2 linked regions of the Danio rerio genome follow. The protein of the gene in region 2 interacts with the protein of the main gene of each other region in a pairwise test. Links are inferred from orthologs where the notes say so. Each region holds a gene or a part of one and is shown on either strand. Other genes may lie near its edges. The genes, in order: uba3 and cpne2.

What was found.
Region 1: the proteins of cpne2 (region 2) and uba3 interact in binary tests that used the Homo sapiens proteins (3 or more experiments, as listed by UniProt). The two-hybrid records come from large-scale screens. The link is inferred for Danio rerio from reciprocal best matches to the Homo sapiens genes CPNE2 and UBA3.

The regions. Positions count from the first base shown.
Region 1 is NC_133186.1:19,923,832-19,935,604, forward strand, and holds part of uba3 (NEDD8-activating enzyme E1 catalytic subunit), read right to left. Parts: intron 7,888-11,773; coding exon 7,807-7,887; intron 7,685-7,806; coding exon 7,602-7,684; intron 7,520-7,601; coding exon 7,439-7,519; intron 4,445-7,438; coding exon 4,401-4,444; intron 4,234-4,400; coding exon 4,169-4,233; intron 4,039-4,168; coding exon 3,883-4,038; intron 3,807-3,882; coding exon 3,704-3,806; intron 3,615-3,703; coding exon 3,501-3,614; intron 108-3,500; coding exon 54-107; intron 1-53. UniProt on the Homo sapiens protein: Catalytic subunit of the dimeric UBA3-NAE1 E1 enzyme. E1 activates NEDD8 by first adenylating its C-terminal glycine residue with ATP, thereafter linking this residue to the side chain of the catalytic cysteine, yielding a NEDD8-UBA3 thioester and free AMP.
Region 2 is NC_133193.1:19,051,847-19,063,619, reverse strand, and holds part of cpne2 (copine-2), read right to left. Parts: intron 11,328-11,773; coding exon 11,125-11,327; intron 6,707-11,124; coding exon 6,527-6,706; intron 6,020-6,526; coding exon 5,945-6,019; intron 5,859-5,944; coding exon 5,787-5,858; intron 5,697-5,786; coding exon 5,613-5,696; intron 4,608-5,612; coding exon 4,518-4,607; intron 2,505-4,517; coding exon 2,406-2,504; intron 175-2,405; coding exon 91-174; intron 1-90.

The sequences.
Region 1 (11,773 bases), on a different chromosome or scaffold from region 2:
CTTACTGAAAAAATGCACAATAAAACCAGAGATTATTTGTAATGTCAGAATACCAGCAATGACAGCATTTGTAGAAGCCACAGCAGGAATTATTCGCTTCACAACCCCTGAAAAACAGGATGTGATTTTACATCAACAAGTACAATTGTGTGAACTTGATTTAGACTTTTTGGAAAAAGACTGAACCTGAACATTATATTGCCAAACCAAATAGCATTTATTGTTTGATAAAGTGGACAGAATTGGAAAGACCTCATTTCTTATCAAAATTAACAGAAACACTTCTTGTCTAGCTTGTGATTATTGGTTGGGAGGTGTACTGTATAATATCTAGTAAAGTTCTTTGAGCATTAAAGGTTCAAGAAACCAGAGTACTTTTTTGAGATTTTAACAGATTTGTGTGTTGAGCATCAGTTAGGACAATGTTAGCACCTGTCAGCTTTAATTGTGGTAAAAACTGGACAATTTTGAGCTATTATCAGCTAATTTCATCTTCCGGGTTTAAAATTATTTTTGGGGCGGGATCAAATACAGGGCTGTCAGGGCCGATACAGCAAAGCTGTTTGTGTGCAGCAAGCATTTTTGTCGGGAGAGCAGTACGAGTATGGCGGAGAATGGCGAACATTGTCCTTTATCAGTGGAGTTCGTTCACATTTAGACACATCGCCATGCTGCTGTGTTCACCTAAATCCTTCAGATTACCAGCAGGGCTAATGGCTGAAATAGGCAGGGCAAGAGAGTCTGCATACAGACCCAGAGATTGAGGGAGAAGTCCTCATAGTGTTTAAATGAACACGATTATCTTCATAATGGTATAAATTGTGGTTATGTATATGAAATTACAAATGTAGCAGGGCATAAAATTACTGTTTATTTCTTTGCATTTTAACTTTGTAAACTATAAAATCATGCATCTTCTCACGGTTTGTGTCTCATTTTGTGAGCTAACTGACAACAGTTGTTCGCTCCCCTACTTTTACCCTGCTCTGCTAGCCACGCCCACTCCTACCTCTGATCGCGAAGCTCCACGCCCATTCTGTGGTAGACCTGACTTAACTGAAATAACACAAACTGAAAGACTGATCCTGGACTAATCATTTAAGAATCCATATTGAAATGAAATAACTAAAAAAAAGGGTCAGCCCCCAAGCCCCCAGCCTTGTCTCAAAGAGACAAGAAAGAAAAATTGATAAACAAAAAAAGGCAAATGTTATTCTCAGACATAAACAGTCTCAAAGAAATAATCAAAGCTGGTTCTGTGTTTTGATCATATTTTGCAAAAGCAAATTAAAATAAATTATTATTGAAGCTGTATTCAATATATGTCTTGTATTGTATGTCTAAATTTTGAGAATTATGCTGTATAGTTTATGTTGTAATAATTATTCTGTTTTTTCTCTCTCTCATTACTGTACTGTGAATAACTGCTGAGTTGACATTATTGTTTAGTTATTTTATTTTCTGTACTGTGTAGTAATATAATTGTGTCATGTGACATACTGAAAATTCAAATGAACTCTAGACCGACCTGAATATTGTCATCCTGATAAAGGCAAGTTTGCCGAAATGGGTAGGTGAACGAGTCATGTTGTTTTTTAAAAAATAATAATTTTGAGTGCCTTTGATATATTTTTTAATATCTTTATGAATCCCTTATCCAATAAACAGCAATATACTGATTACCACTGAAACACTTTTTGTTTGATCATGGATTCTACATTCAAAATACTTTGGAAATTAAGGCCCTGTTTATATGTTGTGTGACCAGTTATTTAACTTTTACATTTATAAATATGTTTTTATTGCACTTAAAGTGAATTATTTCAACAATTCATTCAATTCAATTCAAATGATTTTAATATCATTTTTTGAAAAAAATTCTCATTTTAAAAGAAAATGTCAGATGGCATCTGGGGGATTTTGCATCTGAACTCTTCAAATACAGTTTATTAAACATAATTTATTAGGCCATTTAGGCCTTAAATTAAGGGGTAGGGGTGTCCTAATTTTCTTTAGCTTGAAGGTGTAGGGCTAAGGGGTAGATAGCCCTTCGAATGGAGATTTTTCAGGACCACACTCGAAACCAAGGGGTAAGAAAATTTCCCAGAATACACCAGCCACAAGGGCAGGATAGCTAGACCCGGACGTAAGGAGATACGCAAATTATTATTATTTTTTCATTATTATGAATTTTTACAACAAACAAGCACATCTTTTAATATATTCATAACCGCGTTCATGTTTTACCGTCATGCTTTAAAAAAATACTAATATAAAACCAGCTAAATTTCACTATATATAATCCATAATCATACCTCCTGTATAGCAATCCCACAACATTCTGACACTCGATGATACACGAATACCATTTCAGAAGAGTCTATTGGTTGCGCATGAGCTTTTTACGGTGTCTGCTATAATGTTATTGTTTTTTGTGTGTTTATATTGACGAATATGGCCACAGTGTAAATGCGCAGTACAGTTACGATCTTATTGCCACATTAGATAGTTTTGATATTATAATATAAGCCTTCAGTGATCTCCTGAAGATAAATACCAAAAACTACAGCAACTGGAATAACTACAGCAGTCACGATCATCGATCTCATAAGAAGCAAGAGATATGATGACGTGTACAGGTGCTGTAGCGTTGTCCCAATTCTTAGGGCTAACTTTTCGCCTTCCCCTTCACACTCGGTTTTAAAGGCCAAGGGGAAGGGGTACAAAAATAGAACTGTGATAGGACCTAAATGTCCCTCGAAAACCCTGATAAATGAACTAAAGTGTCCTCCACCCACTAGTTATATTTTAACTTTATGTATAATGTCTATGTGAATTATAGTGGCCAATCACACAGAATGCATTTTTTGCGCTGAGGGTTGAATCTTTAGAATAGTTTATTAACGGTCATGAGCGTTTTGCACACTGCTAATGCGCCCTGTGCGCCTTGCATTTTTGCCGTTAGGTGCTGTGCACTTGCAGTTGAAAAAGTCAACTCCGAGGGAAAAAAAGTGTGCTACATCACTCGCGTCTTTTTCATTCTACAATTAAATAAAAGCAGAGGCAGGGTTTCTGTTGAGGTGACAGCAGTGTTTGTGTTGTCAAGATGACTACGGAAACTTTTGGAGAAAGAGGAAAGACTAGCTGTTGCTGTTTTGAGTTATCCGGAGCTGTATGACTTAACAAATATTATATATACAAATAAAATGTATTATTTAATATTAAAATGATACCAATATCACAGCAACACTCTCGCACAATACACAGCTGATTCAGTTGTTGCCTAGCAAAAAGCGCTTCTTTTTTCTCGTCAACAAAGAAGAAAATATGGTGCGCCTCGTGTTTTAGCACGGAAAAACATGTTCATTGTGATCAGCCCCTAAGACCTGTATCAAAATCGTTCATTATGAATATGTGCACAATTACAGCCCTAAAGTCAATAAAAGAGATGCTTTTAAAAATCCCTGATGAAGATCCATTGAACAGGGCATCTCACTCACCCTGGGTGAGTCTGTAAGTGACCCCAGTGATGTTGAACTCAGCCGCTCTCTCCAAAGATTTCTGATACACCCACTGGATGTGCTTTGGGTCATCTCCATCTAGAACCACACCATCTGAAGAACAAAAAAGCCATATCTGAAATACAGTAGATTACCTGCTAGCAATACAACCAAAAATTCCAATCAATCAGCTCATATTGTACCTCCAAAGGGCTTTTCTTTGGGCCACAGCAGCATGCGTACATATTCAACACAATGTTCGGGTAACCGTGGCATAGACGCTATAGTGCACATCGGGAAGTTGATCTGTGTAGGGCGCAGAAATGAGCATGACAAAAAAGCTTTGAAACTTCAACTTAACACAAAAAATCCCAAAATGCACCTGTGGGGGGTAGAGCTCCAGAGTGCAATCAATGCAGGCTGTCATTCCTGGAAGAATGACCCGGGCATTGCCCTTGAAGCCCTCTGTGCCACCATCTATTAGTGGAATAATAGAGCTGGGGTCCAGGACTCCATCTTCATAAATCAGCAGGGAGAGCTGACAAAGGTAAATGCATAGACTATATGTACTTCTCAATGAATAGAAACACTCTACTTAATTAATGAATGAATGGATTTTAGATCTAAACATATCTATTAATAGATTCTTGGATGTTTATGAGACATACAAGCATGCCGTTCATCCATCTTCTGGCGATAACAGAGTCCAGGCCACAGACGACTATGTGGAATTCTATGCAAAAACAGTTAAATTACAAAGATTTAAGAATATAATACTGCCTAAAAAGCATCATACTATTAATAACAATAACAGAACAATAGTATCATATATTTATGATTTTAGGACATTATTTCTGTACACAAAAATAATGAAAACAAAATGTGTAACAGTTAGATTACGCCTGTAAAATGTCTCATCCAAGTCCTGGATTTTCTTAAAATGTCTGCATTATGTATTAAGGGAAATGACAATATTTTGACAGTACAAATCTGTGTAAAACAGTATAAATACAACAGTATAAATCAGTATAAAAACTACAAGTTCAGAAGTTTGGGCTCAGTAAGATTTTTTAAATTTCACTTCTGTTGCATTTATTTGATGAACAATAGCGTAAATCAGTATTATTGCCAAGTATTATTCCAATTTATACTAAATATTTTAGAATTAAAAAAAAGCATACTTTCACACTATTGAAAAAGCAGATTAATTAGCATCATTACTACACGCTTCAGTTTTACATTTGTGTTACATCTTTTATATTGTATATATGCTGCTTGTTACTTAAGATGCTTGTTAATATCAGTTGAAAAGAGTGAATTATATTTTATTAGTGTTGATCAAACATTAACTAATTTAAAATAACGGTACTGTTTTGACATAATATTTGTGTGTATTGTAAATATTTATTTATTATGTATATGTAATACGCACATGCATGCATGCATGGATATATTTGATAAAATATTTATATTTAGATATAAATTTTATATGTTAACTACCGGTCAATATATATATATATATATATATATATATATATATATATATATATATATATATATATATATATATATATATATATATATATATATATATATATATATATTTTTTTTTTTTTTTTTTTTTTTTTCATGTTTTTAATTTTTTTAAGAAAATGATTATGTTCATCAAGGCGGCATTTATTTAATGTAAATAAAAAAAGTTAAATTGTTAAACATTTATTAACATTTTAAATAACTGCTTTCTTATTGTATGTAGTTTCAAATGAAATTATTATTTCATTCATTATTTTTTTATTACAATTACCATTAATAATAATAATAATAACAACAACAACATTAATTAATTAATCTTAGAGTGATTTCTGAAGGATTATGTGACTGAAGACTAGAGTAATGAAGCTGAAATCTTATCTTTAAAATCACTGGAATAAATGATTAAATGATAAACTACTTTTGAACAGTAGTGCAATAACATTTTACAATTTGTATTGTATTTCTGATTAAATAAATGAATCATTGGTGAGCAAGATAGGCTTATTTTAAAACATTTAAAAAATGTACTGACCCCAAACTTTCGACCGGTAGTGTATATAGCACAAATTATATATAAATTTAAATATGTAATAAAAAAAAAATGTTTGTATTGTTTTGATTTTATGTATGTGTATATCATATATACACAGGGCTTGACTTTAACTTTTTTTGATCACCAGCCATTGTGGCTAGTAGTTTTCCACCGTTACTAGCCACTCGCCATTTTCACTAGCCACAATTTCAATTTTGCTGATGGGAAAATATATTTTATATGCATAAATTTGACTTTGGCATGGGTTGCGGCATGCTAAAATTACTTCTTGTTCATTTAACTGTTTTTTTGTTTATGAGCTTACTCAATGAGCATTAGCAAATGGGTTATTTAGTTATTATGGATTATGGGTTATTACTTTCATAAAAAGTTGCGCATTGCAATTAGTTTTCTTTCACAGGACTTTTCAGGGCTCAACACAATAATGGTTTGCCTTTTTTTTCGACTGGCCACTCCAAACTAATTATTTCCTTGCCACAAATTTTAAATAATGTGTCAAAACAAGCAAAATACTGCTGGATCCATACACTTTTTGTTTAACAAAACAGCTGACATTTAAAATATATATATTTATTTACATTCATTCATTCATTCATTCATTTTCTTGTCAGCTTAATCCCTTTATTAATCCAGGGTCACCACAGCTGAATGAACCGCCAACTTATCCAGCAAGTTTTTTTTACGCAGCAGATGCCCTTCCAGCCGCAACCCATCTCTGGGAAACATCCACACACACACTCATACATTACGGACAATTTAGCCTACCCAATTCACCTGTACCGCATGTCTTTGGACTGTGGGGGAAACCGGAGCACACGGAAGAAACCCACGCGAAATATATATATATATATATATATATATATATATATATATATATATATATATATATATATATATATATATATATATATATATATATATATATATATATTTATATATATACACTCACGCATTTAAAACTATGCACAGTGGTCTGTTCTGGCTCAAAATCCCAGATCACCAGTTAACTGTGCATACAACAACATATTTAAGCAATATTATTGTAAAGGATGATTATTAAACTATATTAACAAAAATAACAGCAAGCAAAAGAAACATCAAATCAAATCATCTGTGCGCGCGACACGAGCCCTCGTCAGTGAGTGAGGAAAGCCTGTCTCACTGTGTACGTGATCCTCTAATTCGTTATTTATCTGCTTTCCTTTGCTCGCGCGAAAAACTGTTTTTGTCAGTCGTGCTGCTTCTGGATTCTAAGATCACATTTGTACGCATATAGACAAACGGTCATAAACTAACAGTCTAACCTAGTGACGACGAGCCAGCACTGGCAATTTAAAAAGGAGTTTCAGCCAGCCAAAGTGGCTGGTGAGAGTGGCTGTCTAACTCACCACAACCGAAATCTACCCGCATTTGGCGGGTTGGCAGGTGTTAATGTAAAGCCCTGTATATACATAATAAATATATATAATACACTGACATATATTACGCCTAAACAATATTTTTAATGTGTTTTATTTTTAATGTGATTAATCTTTGCCCAGCACTGTATTTTTTATGTTTTATTATTATTATTTTAGGATGAATAGAAATCCCAGAAAAAAGCATACCTTTAATAAAAGAAACTGTTTGTAAAATTATACACATATTTAATAGATTTATTGATTATTAAATGCATCCTTTATTGCAAAAAATATTGGAAGTTTCTTGCAAATAAAATATAATCATCTTACTGCCCTCTAACTTTTTGAACACAGAAAAAAAGTACAGTGGCATTTCAAACTTCCCACAAACAAAATCAAAATTAAATTTTGAAACAAAAGACAAAACTAAGTTAATACACTTTAAAGGATACGGGACAACACTGCATCCTGGGACCCTGTCGTTTACGAAGTCTGCTGCAACCTCTGCCTTTGGTCGGCCCACATCTTTTGGCCTAGAGAAACAAGAGCAGGCTGTTTAGATGATTAAAATCAGAACGACAAAGGGTTCAAAAAGACAGCTGTCCGCAGACTAACCTGAAGAGGAACTGTCTGTTGAGGTTAGAAACGTCAATGGTGTCCATGTCCACTACATGAATATGTCGAAAACCTGACAAAGCCTGATTGATGACATTGTAGCGATATAAAAAAAAAAAAACACATTTAGCCTCTTTGAGGATCGATTGTGTCAAATATATTGCATTGTTATTCCAGCACAAGATCAAACAGGAAACAACATTACCAGATCTTTGAGCAGCTCACATCCAAGTCCACCGGCTCCAATAACCAGAATCTTGCATGTGTCCAATAAAAACTGGAGAGACTGGAAGATGATGTGCGCAATTTATAAAGAAAAAGGAGAGAAAGAGAGCAGAGCAATATTAAGATTACCACAAATGGACTGATATTGTGATAATGACATTGTTCTCAAACTATGAAATATCTTTTAGATTTTTTGTCTTATTTTAATGTTAGTTGTGCTTTATATGAAATCATTCATCTGAAGAATGTAATTTATGCATTTTATTCTCCACCATAATATCATAATAGTAATTTAACCACTGTGAAAACATATCTTGCGAATGCAAAACATACACTGCATTGATAAGGCAGTTATTATGAACCTATAATAGGGCTGTGCGATTTGGGGAAAATATCTAATTGCGTTTTTTTGAACAGATATTGTGATTTCGATTTGATTTGCGATTTAATTTTGTAGTCAAGCTTCAGCTCAACAATCTGTATTGTAGCTTCTATCTGCTAAAATGCAGCGAGTGGAACTGAAAAGATATCACCTTACATTAGCAAACAACTCTAAAATTGAAATTTTCTAGTAACTAGATTGAGTGTCACTGGCAATATAATTAGTTAACTTTTTAGCAAAACACTCCTCATATAGGCGCCTGTTGGGCTTTTTTAGGTGCTGAATGTTGTATTTCTTCATGCTGTGGCAACAGTTCTGTGACAGCTCTTTTACAAATGACCTGATGTAGTTAGGTGTATGTGACTTTAAAACCAAAATATTCCCATATTACCGACCTGCTGTTTTTTTAAAGTTTTTTTTTTATATTAGTCTATTGATGCTTCTGAAGCAGCAGATGTCATCATCCCACTTGTTCGCGCTTCCCTGTTTGTTTGTTTTTTTTTATTGCGAGCGTTCTGAGTTTTTCGGAAAAATAAAAATACAAATTTTCTCGTTAACTCACAGTTCATTAAGGAATGTTAACAAGCTTAACTTTGAATTTTACATTTTATCTGTAAATAATAAGTTAATATAAATAAATGCTGTAAAAATTCTAAAATGCTGTAGCAACATTTGTGTATTTCAGAGAAATAACTGAAGGTTTTTACTTTTTTTTTTTTGCATTATGGAGCTTTTTATGATTATAATTCAACCACTGAAGACAAATGAAATATTTTAACAATGCTTTTGATTCATTTTTTGGACATTTTGTGACTGACTATAGAGGATAAAAGAGCTCTCAGATTTCATTTAAAATATATCAATTTGTGTTCTAAAACAAAAATACTATTAAAAATATTAAATCTGAAGATTTCTTTCAATCTTTGTTTAGGTGAATCTCTATTAAAATAATTGTTCACCCAAAACTAAAAGTTGTCATCATTTACTCACCCTTTACTGGCCCAAACCTTTCTTTTATTTGTTCAACATAAATAAATATATATATTAGGGATGTAACGGTATTGTAAATACCGTCATACCGCAATATTAAATTTTTTCGATATTACCGAAGTCGCATGACTCGGTAAAACTATAGGTCTTCTGAGAAAATTTGCTCAGGCGAATGAAGCGAACGGGAGGTAGCTGAAACTTCATTTCCCATCAGCCCCGGCGTGGCCATAATCCTTTGCGGTCTGTTGTCGCTACAGATCCAGTAATGCGGAAATGGAGTGTGCTGCTAGTAGCGGAGATGAAAAAAAGATGGAAATGATCGAACCTAAAGCGGGTGTTGTCGCCGCGCGCGTGCTGAATAGCGGTGCTGTCGCGCGCGTTCTGATCAGCTGTGTTGTGGCGCGCGTATTGTAAAGCGCCGAGGGGGGGTTGAGCGCGCATACTCAAGAGAGGTGTTATCGCGCGCCTACTGAAGGGCTGGACTGGACGGAGGTTGTGTCGCGTCGCGGGGGCACTTTTGATCGTTTTGGAAGGGCATTTTCTATCCAAGACTAAAAAGGGCATGTGCACTGCACAGGTTGAGCCCTATGTGTGCACGTGCCTGCAAGTTGGGGAATACGACTAATAACAGTCATGGGGACTGCAGAAACACAGCACACTGTTCAGATTGATGCAGACATTGACTTGTACCGCAAAGAGATCTCTATCTCACTCATGGTTTGTCCTCTCAAGTGGGGGAAAGACAATGCACAACGTTACCCCACTGCTGTCAACATGGGCCAAGTCATATCTCTCTTGTCCCAGAATCCTCAGTCCCAAATGAGAGGGGTTTTTTTCTGTTGCAGGGGACATTGTAAATACCCAGAGATACCAGCTTTTACCAGATTATAGTTATATGATAATTTTCCTTTAAACCCATCTCTATCTAAGTGAGTGATTAAATGTTAAATGTGATGAGTTTTTAACAATACTAAATTGAAACTTTATTTTTTTTACATGGTTTAATAATTTTTTGTTATTAAAATTGAAGTTCCTGTTTCAAAGCTTACAGATAGATGGCTAATTTGTATGTCATTGACACTTTTGGCACTTTTTTGGAGTATTTTCAAAAGTTTTTTTTTTTCCTGTAAATGATTCAATAAATACCGTACCGTGACATTCATACCGAGGTATTACCGTACCGTGAAATTCTGATACCGTTACATCCCTAATATATATATATATATATATATATATATATATATATATATATATATATATACACACACTTTTTTTTTTTAAGAAAGCGGGAAACCTTTCAAAATACTATCTGAAAAACTGTCGACTTCAATGTTATTGGTTTTTCCTGCTATGGAAGTCAATGGTTACGGTTTTTCACATTCTTCAAAATAGCTTCTTTAGCAGTCAAAAGAAAAAATAAACTCATAAAGGTTTGGGAGAGCAAATAGGAATATATTAATGCTGTACTGGTAATGACAACCGTCTGTCCTTTTTTTTAAGGGTTTAAATTGTGCAGTGACCATTTAGCATCAGTCAATTTATTTACAACAAAACAAAAAAAACAACATGTTCCTTTGTAAGACTTCTCTTCATTCAAGGACATGAAAAATACACCTGATGTAAACTTCCCAAGCTGAATGAATGAGGATGAACTTTGGATGTAATGTTGGATGTGATTTGTTTGGTTTATTATTTGGTTAAATCTGCACAGAGTGTGCCATTTCTGTGTAGTAGTTATGCATAAGACATTAGCTTTTGTGAGATTTTTAAAGGGATAGTTTAGAAATTGCTGTTAAATAACACTTTAAAAAGGCTGCAGACTTTTTTTTAGTTCTTCAGTAGAAAATTAATTCAGCAAATCAGCATCTTCTGACAATACAGAGGTGAACAATCTTTTTTTATTAAGTGAAGTAATATAGTAAAGTGAAATAAGCAGTTACGTTCAAGAAAAGGAATGAAACCTTAAATAAATTCAAAAATAATACACAGAATTAATCATTTAACTTCATAAATATTAATTTAGTTTTGACTATTTTTGTTTTTGCTTTTTGGAGCATCACCTATCCCTTTTAAGCAGTCATATTATAATCTACATACACAGATAAAAAAACTAGGGATGTCCAGATCCGATCACACAGTTTTAGACTTGATCAAAATTGGACGTTACCTCCCGATCAGGACTAACACAGAAACAGCAACGCATGTGGCATGACATCCCTTTGTTGCGGAGACGATATTAGTTAAATGCTGGCAAAGTAGAACAGAAGCAGCTTGAAGTGGAACGCGCGAGTATGTCTGTGATCTGGAGGTATAATAAAAGTTGATGATGACAACATTGCCATGGCTAGGCATGGGATGGGAACTGTTTTCAAGGTATACCGCGGTTTGGTAAAATTTATTTTATTTTTTTTAATTTTCTGTAATAGCCTTCCTAATGTATATGTAAGATTTTCTATTTACATTTTTTAACAACAGCATCACCAGCAGAAAAGATGCATCACAAACAGAAATCTGTGTTTTTGAAGCTAATGAAGACAGCAGAAGTCAACAATTCATTAGAATTTTTTTAGCCTGA
Region 2 (11,773 bases):
GCTTTAATGTGCAAGCAGAATGTATTTAATCATTTCTTTTGCCTTGTGAATAGTGAATGTGTCACCATTCTTTGTTTCTTATGTCCTTACCTTGCATGACTTCAGAATTATGATTCCCGAGTTTTTGTAACTCTTTTTTTTCTGCTTCTTGGGATTAATGCATTCAAACTCAACCTGTGAACGGAAGGTACTGTGTTACTATAGTGCAGGATAAATAGTTTTTGTATGTATTAGACAATGTTGACAACATTAAATAGTGTTTTCGTAAATACATGTACATATTGATTGTTATTCATGTCTAAAATGATTTATATTATTTCAGTAATTTGTATAACATATCTTTAAGTTTTACAGTAATTCAAACCCCAATATCCAAAACTTACCCCAGACAGTTTTAAGGAAAAAATTTAAATGTAATAATAATAATCATAAAAAAAGAAAATCCAATCAAACACATTTCACATTCCACAACTTCAGACTTCAAAAGCTTCTTCAGATATTGCAAAATTAAGCAGATTAATTCCTTATTATGTGTGTGAGTTTTTTAAGAGCCAAACATGTTATAAGGTTTCTTAACCAAAGTCCAATGGAGGGGCAATTAACATTTATCCAACACAGAACAATACATCATCTTGCTGGTATTAAACACAAATTTATTCCAGTAATTTGGAATGTTTGCATAAAATAGTAAATATTAGCCATAAAAAACTCATTTTGGTGAAGAATTAAAACAAATAATACATGTTAATATACACTGATTGGCCACTTTATTAGGTACAGAATTCAGAATTGCCCTAATCCTTTGTGGCATAGATTTAACAAGGTACTAGAAATATTCCTCAGAGATTTTGGTCCATATTGACATGATAGCATCACGCAGTTGCTGCAGATTTGTCGGCTGCACATCCATGATGCAAATCTCCCGTTCCACCTCGTCCCAAAGGTGCTCTATTGGGTTGAGATCTGGTGACCCTACCATCCGAATGTCGTAGTAGAAATCGAGACTCATCAGACCAGGCAACGTTTTTCCAATCTTCTATTGTTCAATTTTGGTGAGTCTGTAATTGTGAATTGTAGCCTCAGTATCCTGTTTTCAGCTGACAGGAGTGGCACCCGATGTCGTCTTCTGCTGCTGTAGCCCATCTGCCTCAAGGTTGGATGTGTTGTGCACTCAAAGATGCTCTTCTGCATACCTCAGTTGTAACGAGTGGTTATTTGAGTTACTGTTGCCTTTCTATCAGCTCAAACCAGTCTGGCCTTTTCTTCTGACCTCTGGTATCAAAAAAGCATTTGCACCCGCAGAACTGCCACTCACTGGATTTTTTTTTTCAGACCATTCTCTGTAAACCCTAGAGTTGGTTGTGTGTGAAAATCCCAGTAGATCAGTACTTTATGAAATACTCAGAGCAGCCCGTCAGACACTAACAACCGTGCCACATTCAAAGTCACTTAAATCACCTTTCTTCTCCATTCTGATGCTTGGTTTGAACTTGTCCTGACCATGTCTATATTTGCGTTAACGAGCAGTTGGACAGTACCTTATAAAGTGGCCAGTGAGTTTAATAAATAATAGATCAGCTTTCTATACACTATAATAAATAAAGGGTTTCACACAATTCATTCATGTTGTCCCAGAACAAATCGATTAAGTTAACTTAACAAATTTAAGTAGACTGAACATAAAAAATATAAGTTGTCCCAATAAAATCTCAAGAATTGTGTTGTTTTAGCTCATTTTAAATAGTTAAATTGAACAAGCAGTAAAAATAATTATTTGAGTTTATCTAGTATTATTATTTTAAGGACTCTCTCAAACAAAGCTGAGACACAAAAATGAGACATAATCTATTCTGAAACAAAAATCCAAGTATCAGCATCATCTGTGAGTTCTAGAGAGATCATTCATCTGAAATGCGAACACAGAGGGGTGACAATCACTGCGGGAGCTCAATTACTTTACAACATGACACGAAATACATCATATCTCTGAGCAAAGGCTGTGCAGCAGAATGCCAGTACCTGAGTGAACGGGTGTTTATTAGTACACTAAGTCGTTCTCCAAGAGAACATTTAAACGTGTTCTGCCAAAGTGTGACTGGCAACGCACAATGCATGTTCTGGTAAACAAGGCAGCGGTAAAACAGGAGCGATTTGCATCTCAAAAGAGCCAGTTACTCTCTCTGTTTCTCCCTCCCACCTCTTTTCTCCTTCTCCCTCTGTCTCTCCCTCTCACTCACTAATTCTCAGCTTCATTATGCCAGATAATGAGGCATAGCTAGTACTCACATAGTATTCTGGCGCAAGAGCGGCAGGCGTTAATGTGAGCCAAGCTTTTACTTCACGCGTTTAGTTTCTACATTGTGGAAATTATGAATCTGCATGGTGTTAATTGCAGACAAGCCCACCTCCACTCCGTTCTCTGCTTCGCTCATCTTGGTCACGGAGGTCTGAAACTCGCCGATGAAATCATGGCCTCCGTCGTTGTCATAATCGTAGCACAGCACCTGTGACATCATATATTTACAGTGAGTTGTGACAATGTGGCTCATTGGGACATAAACAGACTTGACCAAGAGAAAAATCAAAACTGCTTAGTAGGTCTTCGAATACTGTATGTAATGTAATGTAATGTGTATTTATATAGCACATTTATTGTGTATAGTCACACACCCAAAGCGCTTCACAATCATAAGGGGGGGGGGTCTCTCCACACCACCACCAATGTGCAGCATCCACTTGGATGATGCAACGACAGACACAGGACAACGGTGCCAGTGTGCTCACCACACACCAGTTATAGATGGAGTGGAGAGGCAGTGAGCCAATTCGGTGGATGGGGATGATTGGGACAAGGCAGATAGAAGGAATTTGACCAGGACACCAAGGTTACTACTCTTTAAGAAAAGTGCCATGGGATTTTTAATGACCACAGAGTCAGGATCTCTGTTTAACATCTCATCCGAAAGATGGCACTCCTGACAGTATAGTGCCCCTTCACTTTACTAGGGCATTAGGACACACACAGACCGCAGGTTGAGAACTGCCTGCTGGCCTAACCTAAACCACTTTTAACAGCAACCTAGTTTTCCCATGTGGTCTCCCATCCAGGTACTGACCAGGCTCAGCCCTGCTTAGCTTCAGTGAGTAACCAGTCTTGAGCTGCAGGTTGATATTTGCTAGTAGGTCTTTGAATATTGAAGTTAAGTGAAACATGGACCTAATATATATGTTTTGATTTGTTTGCTTTTTTAGCTAAGCACAATGTAAGCATCATTATTTGGTATTATTATACATATATAATGTTTTTTAGAAAACATGAAACAGATTTGTTTCTGAATTCTTTAATTAAATTTCTTAAAAAGAAAAAAATGTAGTAATATAAATGAACAAATGTATTATGCATAATATTCAAATATGACATGAGATGTGTTTAAATTAATTTGTGCCCCTACTAACAGCAGCATATGGCACTGAAACTTTTGTATTAATGCATTATAAAACAACCATGGATTCAATCCATGGGAACACACATACTGATAAGATGTATACTTTGAATACACTGTAAATCACTTTCCAAAGCATCTGGCAAATGTATACTGTAAATGTAAATTTTGCTAATTGGGGACAAATAGTGAGTAAGGGGCCATCTGTTAAACTATATTTTAAACCAACTGAATTTTTGATTGGACACATGTAAAAAAACAGTCAATAATGTTACTTTAAACCGTAACAGTAAGTTGTTTTAAGCTATTTCAATATGAAAAGTTTTTCTTTTTGGGATCACAGTCTCCAATATACCCCAAAACACATTCATTGTGTTTAATAACACTTTAGTTTAGGTCACAATCCATACTATTAACTACTGGCTTATTACCTGCCTATTATTAATTTATTAACTGTTCATTATTAGTTATAATGTATGATCTTATTCTACATCTCCAATCCTACTTAAAACTGAAACCCAACTTCTACCTCACTAACTATTAATAAACAGCTAACTAGAAGTTTATTAACCCAGGAGTTCTAGTCAATAGTTTGTTCATCATTTTTCTTCAACGTACTCCCTTATTTATCAGGAATCGCCACAGTGGAATGAACTGCCAACTATTTCAGCATGTTTTACGCAGTGGATTCCCTTCCATCTGACACCCAGTACTGGGAAACACCCATAAACACGTATTTACATGCACACTTATGCACTACGGCCAATTTTGTTTACCCAACTCACATATAGTGCATGTCTTTGGACTGTCAGGAAAACCAAACTACCTGAAGGAAACCCATGCCATTCAAACTCCATACAGAAATGCCAACTGACCCAGCCGGGACTCGAATTAGCGACCTTCTTGCTGTGAGGCAACAGTGCTAACCACTGAGCCCTCGTGCTGCTGTTAATGGTTCAATACAGTGAACTGTGCACCAAACTGAAGTGTTGCCATGAATTCTACTGAGATTTTTTACACACATCCTATAAAACTGGACAGTAAAAGACAACAACTTCATAGAAACACACACACCTTGATGTTTCTGTCCACATCTCCATTACAAAGTGAGATTAGAGGCACTGTGAAAGGCTTCCATACAGGATCCAGAGTGTTCTTAATGACCTAATATCACACACACACAGGCAATTATTATTCTTTTCATTAAAAGAATGGATCTAGTCTAAAATACAAGCTTCACATCTGATAAAACAGCAGTAATAAATAGTCTACATCAGGGGTCTCAAACTCAATTTACCTGGGGGCCGCATGAGGCAAAGTCTGGGTGAGGCTGGGCCGCATAAGGGATTTCACAAAAAAAAGTCCTCAAATGCCATTATTAACAGTTTTAATTATTTCTTCTGAACATGAAGTGTCCTGAACATTAATAGAACATTGAGTGAAGATTATGAACAGTTCTTCTGAACATGGCATCTTTTGCCTACTCCTTACTGCCCGAGACTTGACAGCGCTTCTTTTCACAAATCTGAACCACATTTGGCTTTAGAGTGGAAGCAGTTGAGACCCTCAGTATGGCTTGAAGATGATCATTATTAAGTCTAGACCTGTACTTTGACTTATTGAAGTTCAAGGTGGAGAATAACTTCTCACACAAATATGTGCTCCCAAAAAGACCTAGTCCTAGGGAAAAAAGTGGGGGAACTCACTCAAAACTTCCATTCCCTCACCTAAAAAAAAGGCGTATATATGTATAAATAAAACACCCCCACCCCACTCCAGTCACATCAGTCTGTACCAGTCTGTATCTACCTATAATATATGCAGCATGTAGCTGAGTGGCAGGCAGGGGCGGGAACAGCTTACCTTGGTTCTTCCCGCCCGTCACAGCGTCTAACAAAGAGGCGGGGTGCGTGGTGACGTCACCGGCATCCCCGCTCCTTTGTTTACACGGCGGGCGGGGAATGCCAGTGACCGCTGTGTACGGATAGAATCAGCGGAGCTGGAAGCGCTCTCTCTCCCCGCTCCGCTGATTCTGTCAGTGTACAGCGGTCGGCGCGGGCCACAAAATATTGCACTGAGGGCCGCAAATGGCCCGCGGGCCGCGAGTTTGAGACCCCTGGTCTACATAAATGAGAATATCACCAACACGGTATCTATTTAATACCTTACCTCTGTTCTGTGAACCATCATCCATTTCCCATCATCCCCTTGTTTGTGGAACTCTAAATAAGGGTCTGATTTACCAAAAAAGTCCTGAAAAACAGCCACAAACAAAATCATTATCTTCTTTCAACGAGTGCTTTTGTGAAGTGCTTGAATGGCTATCAAAAGCTCTTAACTCACCTTTTTATCCAGCTTCCTCCCACACATGGTTAGGGTGATTATTCTGTTGTCTGATAACTCCTGCGCTGTTATCTAGACCAAACCAAGCAGATCGTGAAGCTCTCGTACAAACTCTATCAATGCATATGTCAGTTCTGGTGTGCTATGCGGGATCTTACTGTGATGGCCCCCTTCCCTGCCGGCTTGCCATTAGCCAGAATCAGTGGTCGATGCAGCTTCTTATTTGACACGATCTAATACAGAACAGATGGCCCAATAAATGCACAAGTAGAGGCGATACAGAAAGCTAATTTATCATAATTATGATCATAAAAGCTTATGGTAATTACTTGAGATTATCTAATTAGGGTGATGCCAAGCAGCATATAGCAGATTGACCTGAGATTTTAGACATCACTTGGAAATACTTTGTTTAACTATATTTACTTGTGTTTTAAAGTATGGATTTGAGTAAAATGGGAACATTTGTTGCATTAATAATGTCTGATTACATTTTTTTTTAACAAACAAATGATGTTTATTCCACCACATACTGCTTTCTTAACTTTCATTGGACAAAAACATCAATACCGCCTTTTCAGAAAGAAACCATAATACTTTTTTAATGATTTTAACACCCCATTGAAGCTCTAGATAACAACATTTTCCTTATACATTACCATAAAGACATTTTTTAAATAGTTTCTTATTTACTCCATAGCAGTAAGTAAAATGTTATTGATTAAAAAGTGCTACTGTACCACTCCCAATGTGCAGGTGAACTCGCCCAGAAAGTCGTGTTCATAAAGCTGAGAGCTGCATTTGTCCTCATCAAACATGGCAAATTTCAGCTTCTGGACCTCCTCAAAGTGGTAATCCACTTGAAATTTTACCCCAAATACTGGATTCAGGTTATTAATAGCCGTCTCTGTTCGAGCCAGCTGAAAAGACATAAAAAATAGAATATGTTTTTTGTTTAATTTTAAAAAAGGGTCAAGAAAGATAACATGAAGTTATACATTATTAAACATTTTTAACTGGTGGAGAAGTTGTCATATAAGATTGACATAACTATAAACTATTTTTACATACAAAAGAGCACATGATATGCACATATCAGTCAGATGAGTGAGAGGAATTTGTTGCTTGTACTGATACTATATATACATATTTACTATATATTTCCCAAATGTTGTTTAACAGGTTCAGTAAATTTTCACAGTGTGTCTGATAATATTTTTTCTTCAGGAGAAAGTCTTATTTGTTTTATTTCGGCTAGAATAAAAGCAGTTTTTAATTTTTTAAAAACCATTTTAAGGTCAAAACTATCAGCCCCTTTAAGCAATATTTTTTCGATAATCTACAGAACAAACTATCAATATACAATAACTTGCCTCATTAGCCTAACCTGTCTACACTGTTAGAAATAAATACGCGAGCTGTCACCTGTGGTGGTACCTTTTTTTAAAAGGTACAGTACACATTTGTACTTAAAGGGTTTATATTGATACCTCAAAAGTATATATTAGTAGATAAAAAATGTAAAAGAGATCCCTTTTGAACTTTTAAGGTACTAATATGTACCCTTGAGATATTTATATGGACCTTTTAGGTACAAATTTGTACCTTTTGAAAAAGTACCACCCAAGTGAATGCTGTGAAAACTTCTTTGCTTTCTTAAAGGTCATTTGGGAAATATTTAAAGAAGAAAAAAAATCAAAGGGGGGCTAATAATTCTGACTTAAACCACATATTTTTTTTTCTCTCTCTCTCTGCAGAAACTGTATAAATAGATACCAAATTGTATGGCAGTCCTTTATATTTGCCCCTTACACTGTGGTTCATTCTTTCCAGTGCAATATAAAGTAAAGTCGCAAGATAAAATATGACAAATATGACATTGAGATATTTTTACAATTAAAGTTACAAATGTACTTTTTGTGTGCCTGAATGCTTTAAACTCGCTTGAAATGCATTTAAAGCACATGCAAATCATGAAGTTTCACTCTCCTATGGTTATACTTTGCAATGACTCAAGTGATAAGATTAATTTACTGAATAAATGAATGTTATCACTTTTTTCCAGAAGATTTGAATCACCTCACATTCCCAGATACAGTGAAAGACTGTTCCTTTAGGTTTTTGGCATTTTAAACATATGCCTGGGATGTTTGGCTTAAACTTACTTAATTTTCCAGGTTTGATGAAAGTACAAACAGAGGATATGTTATTAAAAGATTGCACATCTATCCTTGAAGTCATTAGACTTTTTTACAAGATGCAGCAAATGATTGGGTTTATGTGTACACAATTACACACTCAGGACTGACATGAATAAGATGACATAAAGCCTATATTTATGAGGTCCAGACAACATTTCCAGGTGCTGATAAACCAGGAGTTTCTTCTCTTTTTTTTACTTTTTAAAAACAGTAGCCTTTTTTTAAATTTTATAAGCACATTTTAATTTAAATGTTCTTAATAATAGGAACTAATATGCATACGCTTTAGCTGCTTTACTGGACCTATTACGCTACTGTATTTCAATACTGCTCATTCTGGTGGTACTTGCAAAGACAACTTTTTTCTGAGGTGGTACTTGATGATAAACGTTTGAGAACCACTGAGATAAAATATTCCACTATTTTATAATATTTTCAAGTCTTTTTTGCCATTCTAATAAGTTTTTTTTATTACAGTGATTTACAATATGTAATCATTTGTAAATTTCAAAGGGTTTCTCAATAATTAGTTTTTATTGTAATAAAAAAAATTAAGAAGGTGCTAAAATGATAATAACAGTCATTTTAAAAAAGCATAACAGCAAGTGAGCATAAATTATAGTTGGGACAAATCTATATAGTTAAATACAAGGTTATATTTATAAAGTAAAAAAGTGCTCCATATTTCAAATATTATTAAATATATTATTCCATTTTACAGTAATGAAATATTATATTGTATTTATTATGAACAGTGATAACAATACTGGTATATACAGATGATTAAAACATGAAAGAATTTTGGGACAGCTTCTTTTTAGTATTTATCTGCATTTACATTTATTCATTCGTGATCAGTGTTCTAAATTTTTAAACACCATGTTCTAGAATGCATTTTAGCATGCATTTATCTACCACAAGCGCATTCCTTTGTTTGTCTCTTGCTGTTTCCATGGCTACAGTGTGTGGTAGAAGAGTGATTTTGTGTGCTGGCCTGCCCTACTGACCAGTGACTCTGGCCTGTGATGATTGAGCTCTAAAGGCACAGTCCCATAGAGAGCTCAGACACTGCAACCTAGTTTGCTCATCAGTTCATTCGCTTTATTTGATGTTCAAAAAGATTTCTTCCTGTTTTGCTTCCTACATGCCATCTTTTTCAGTTTTCCACACTATCAACTTGTGCATTTGTCTCAAAGGATATATGTTGCTTTCTAAGGCTCCCAAGAGGCTTCTCAGTGATAAGTTTTCAGTGATAAAAATTCAGATGAGTTTTCCTTTTCTATGTATGTATTAATAATTAATAATATTATAAAACATGTATATATGTATATATATTAGGGGTGTAAGGATACACTCAGCTCACGATGCTATGTGTATCACGATATAATGTTCACGATTCGATATGTATCACGATATTTGGAATAAAAATTTAAAATTTAACTGAAATGCAAATTTTACCAAGTAAACTATTTTTTATGTACTTCTTTTGTTTCAACTTGTTAAACTGAACCTTCTTTAAGAAAATAAATTAAACAGGCCTGTCTCTGGAAAATAAAACTATTTAAAAACTTCTTAAAAATATTATTAAAATGACAGAGACAAAATGAAGGAACAATTTAAGTAAAGGTGCAAAAAATAAGCTTTCAATTGAATTTAACAGTAAGAGCTTAAGGCTTTGCTTGGTCACTTGCGTTTTTTGTGTGTGCAAAAAAAATCCACATTTTCAGGTAATCAGCAGTTCTATAAGATAATCCTGAACTTATGTGTATCTGTCTGAGAGGTTTTTAGGGATGGCTGTCTTCATGTTGGGCATGATGAGTGACAGGGTGGCCGTCTTTTCATTAACTTACACAGGACAGTCGTGGCTCTTTTCAGCAGTTTAGGCAGGTTTACTATTTCTTCTGCGTCGCTGATGTCGGCGCTATCAAGTGTATCATGTTGACGTGCATTTTTGTGTACCTCTGTACTCAAAAGAGTTCATGCTCATCGTAATCATAACTCTAAAATGCGATATGATTGTTTAAATAATGTGTACGTTTTCGGTTTCATTTCCACTGCTAAGTGCTGTTCATACTTCCCACGCGGCTCCTGAACGATCACTCTGTTCCACAAACTGAATGTTGTTTACTACTTTATTAGTCACAACCTGCAGGTTCTGTTCACTGAAGCAGACGCGCGCGTATGGCAAGCCGTTTTAGCATTTAAACCTTTGTTCTGACTATCCATAAATATATTTAATTCATATTTAATTAAATTCCTTTAGAGATATCTCTAATTATATTTTGACTAGTCGAATTATAATTATGACTAGTCAAAATACAATTAGAGATATCTCTAAATATATTTATGGATAGTCAGATCAAAGGTTTAAATGCTAAAACGGCTTGCCATACGCGCGCGTCTATCATAGTCCGCCCTCTGTAGTAACAGCTCACGTCATGTGTGATTTTGCGGCCGCCAATACATCATTATATGAAGACAGAATGATATTTTAGGATGAATTGTACCTTATAAATACAGTATGTGACTCTTTCAACACCATTAGGAGGTATCCATGTCGCTGTGCAAAGTATGTAAATCACTGTGAAGACTTTAAAACTTAGGATGTTTGACCCAGTATGCGTGTCAAAAAGCGGACGAGTCTAAAGCAATGACTCTACAACCGAAATGTTGGCAGACGTCTGATTTTGAGAGGATGGGCTATCCTCTATTTCAACTCCACTCATCTTGGTCTGCTAACATTACTGCTGCTGCAATCTGAACTCACGTGCGACAGCAGGTGGAACGTAGCTCACGTGCAAACAGCTCAACTAATAAGAGAAAACGGACGTCATGTCGTAATCAAATCGTCATAACGCCACGATGCATATTGAGACATTTTTGCATCGCAATAAATTGTACAACGATAAATCGTTACACCCCTAATATGTATATATATATATATATATATATATATATATATATATATATATATATATATATATATATATAATTTCTAAATCTTAATCTCTAATCTTATATCTTAATTAATCTGCATGTGAATCTTTTCTCTCCAACTCATCAAGTTTAGTTAAAGGTTAACTTGTAATATCCACAATACTCTGTGAAGGTAAACACTTTATATCACTTCTCCTTACCTCCACCCAATTGCCGTCCACATCATGGAAAAGAACACAGAATGGGTCTGATTTTGATGCTACGTCGCGGTCCAGCAGGTTAGCACCGCAGACTGAGAGCTCCACTTTTGTGACGCAGTGCTGGGGCCCTAATGCAGGACCCACATCGGGCCCCGAGCCCAGAGTATAGGCCATGGAGAAGGGAGTACCTCCTCTCCTACACCCTGGGGATTACAAAACAGTATTACTTTATTTACAAAACCTTAAAAAAAATTATTAAAATAAACTTAAAAATGTGATTTACACATTAAACCTTATTAACTGCAAGTAAAGTTCGTCCTACTTTAAATTAGAGACCTTAACTAAATATGTAATTACACTGAAATTAATCATTCATTACAATGTACTTTCTGTAACTACAAATTTAATTGCACTGTTGTCTCATCCCTTACACCTTTAACTACCCATACAACCAAATCTGTTCCTAACCCTACCCGTATCCCAGCTCAATAGCATCAGAAGTGTTCTGCAATACATTATGAACAAAAGTACATTGTATACATTTTTTGATGCAAGTACATAGTAATTACAGCTGCTTAATATAAATTGGGAACAAATTGTCTACTTTAATGTTTTAAATAACTTTTTTTAAAATAAAATGACAAAATAT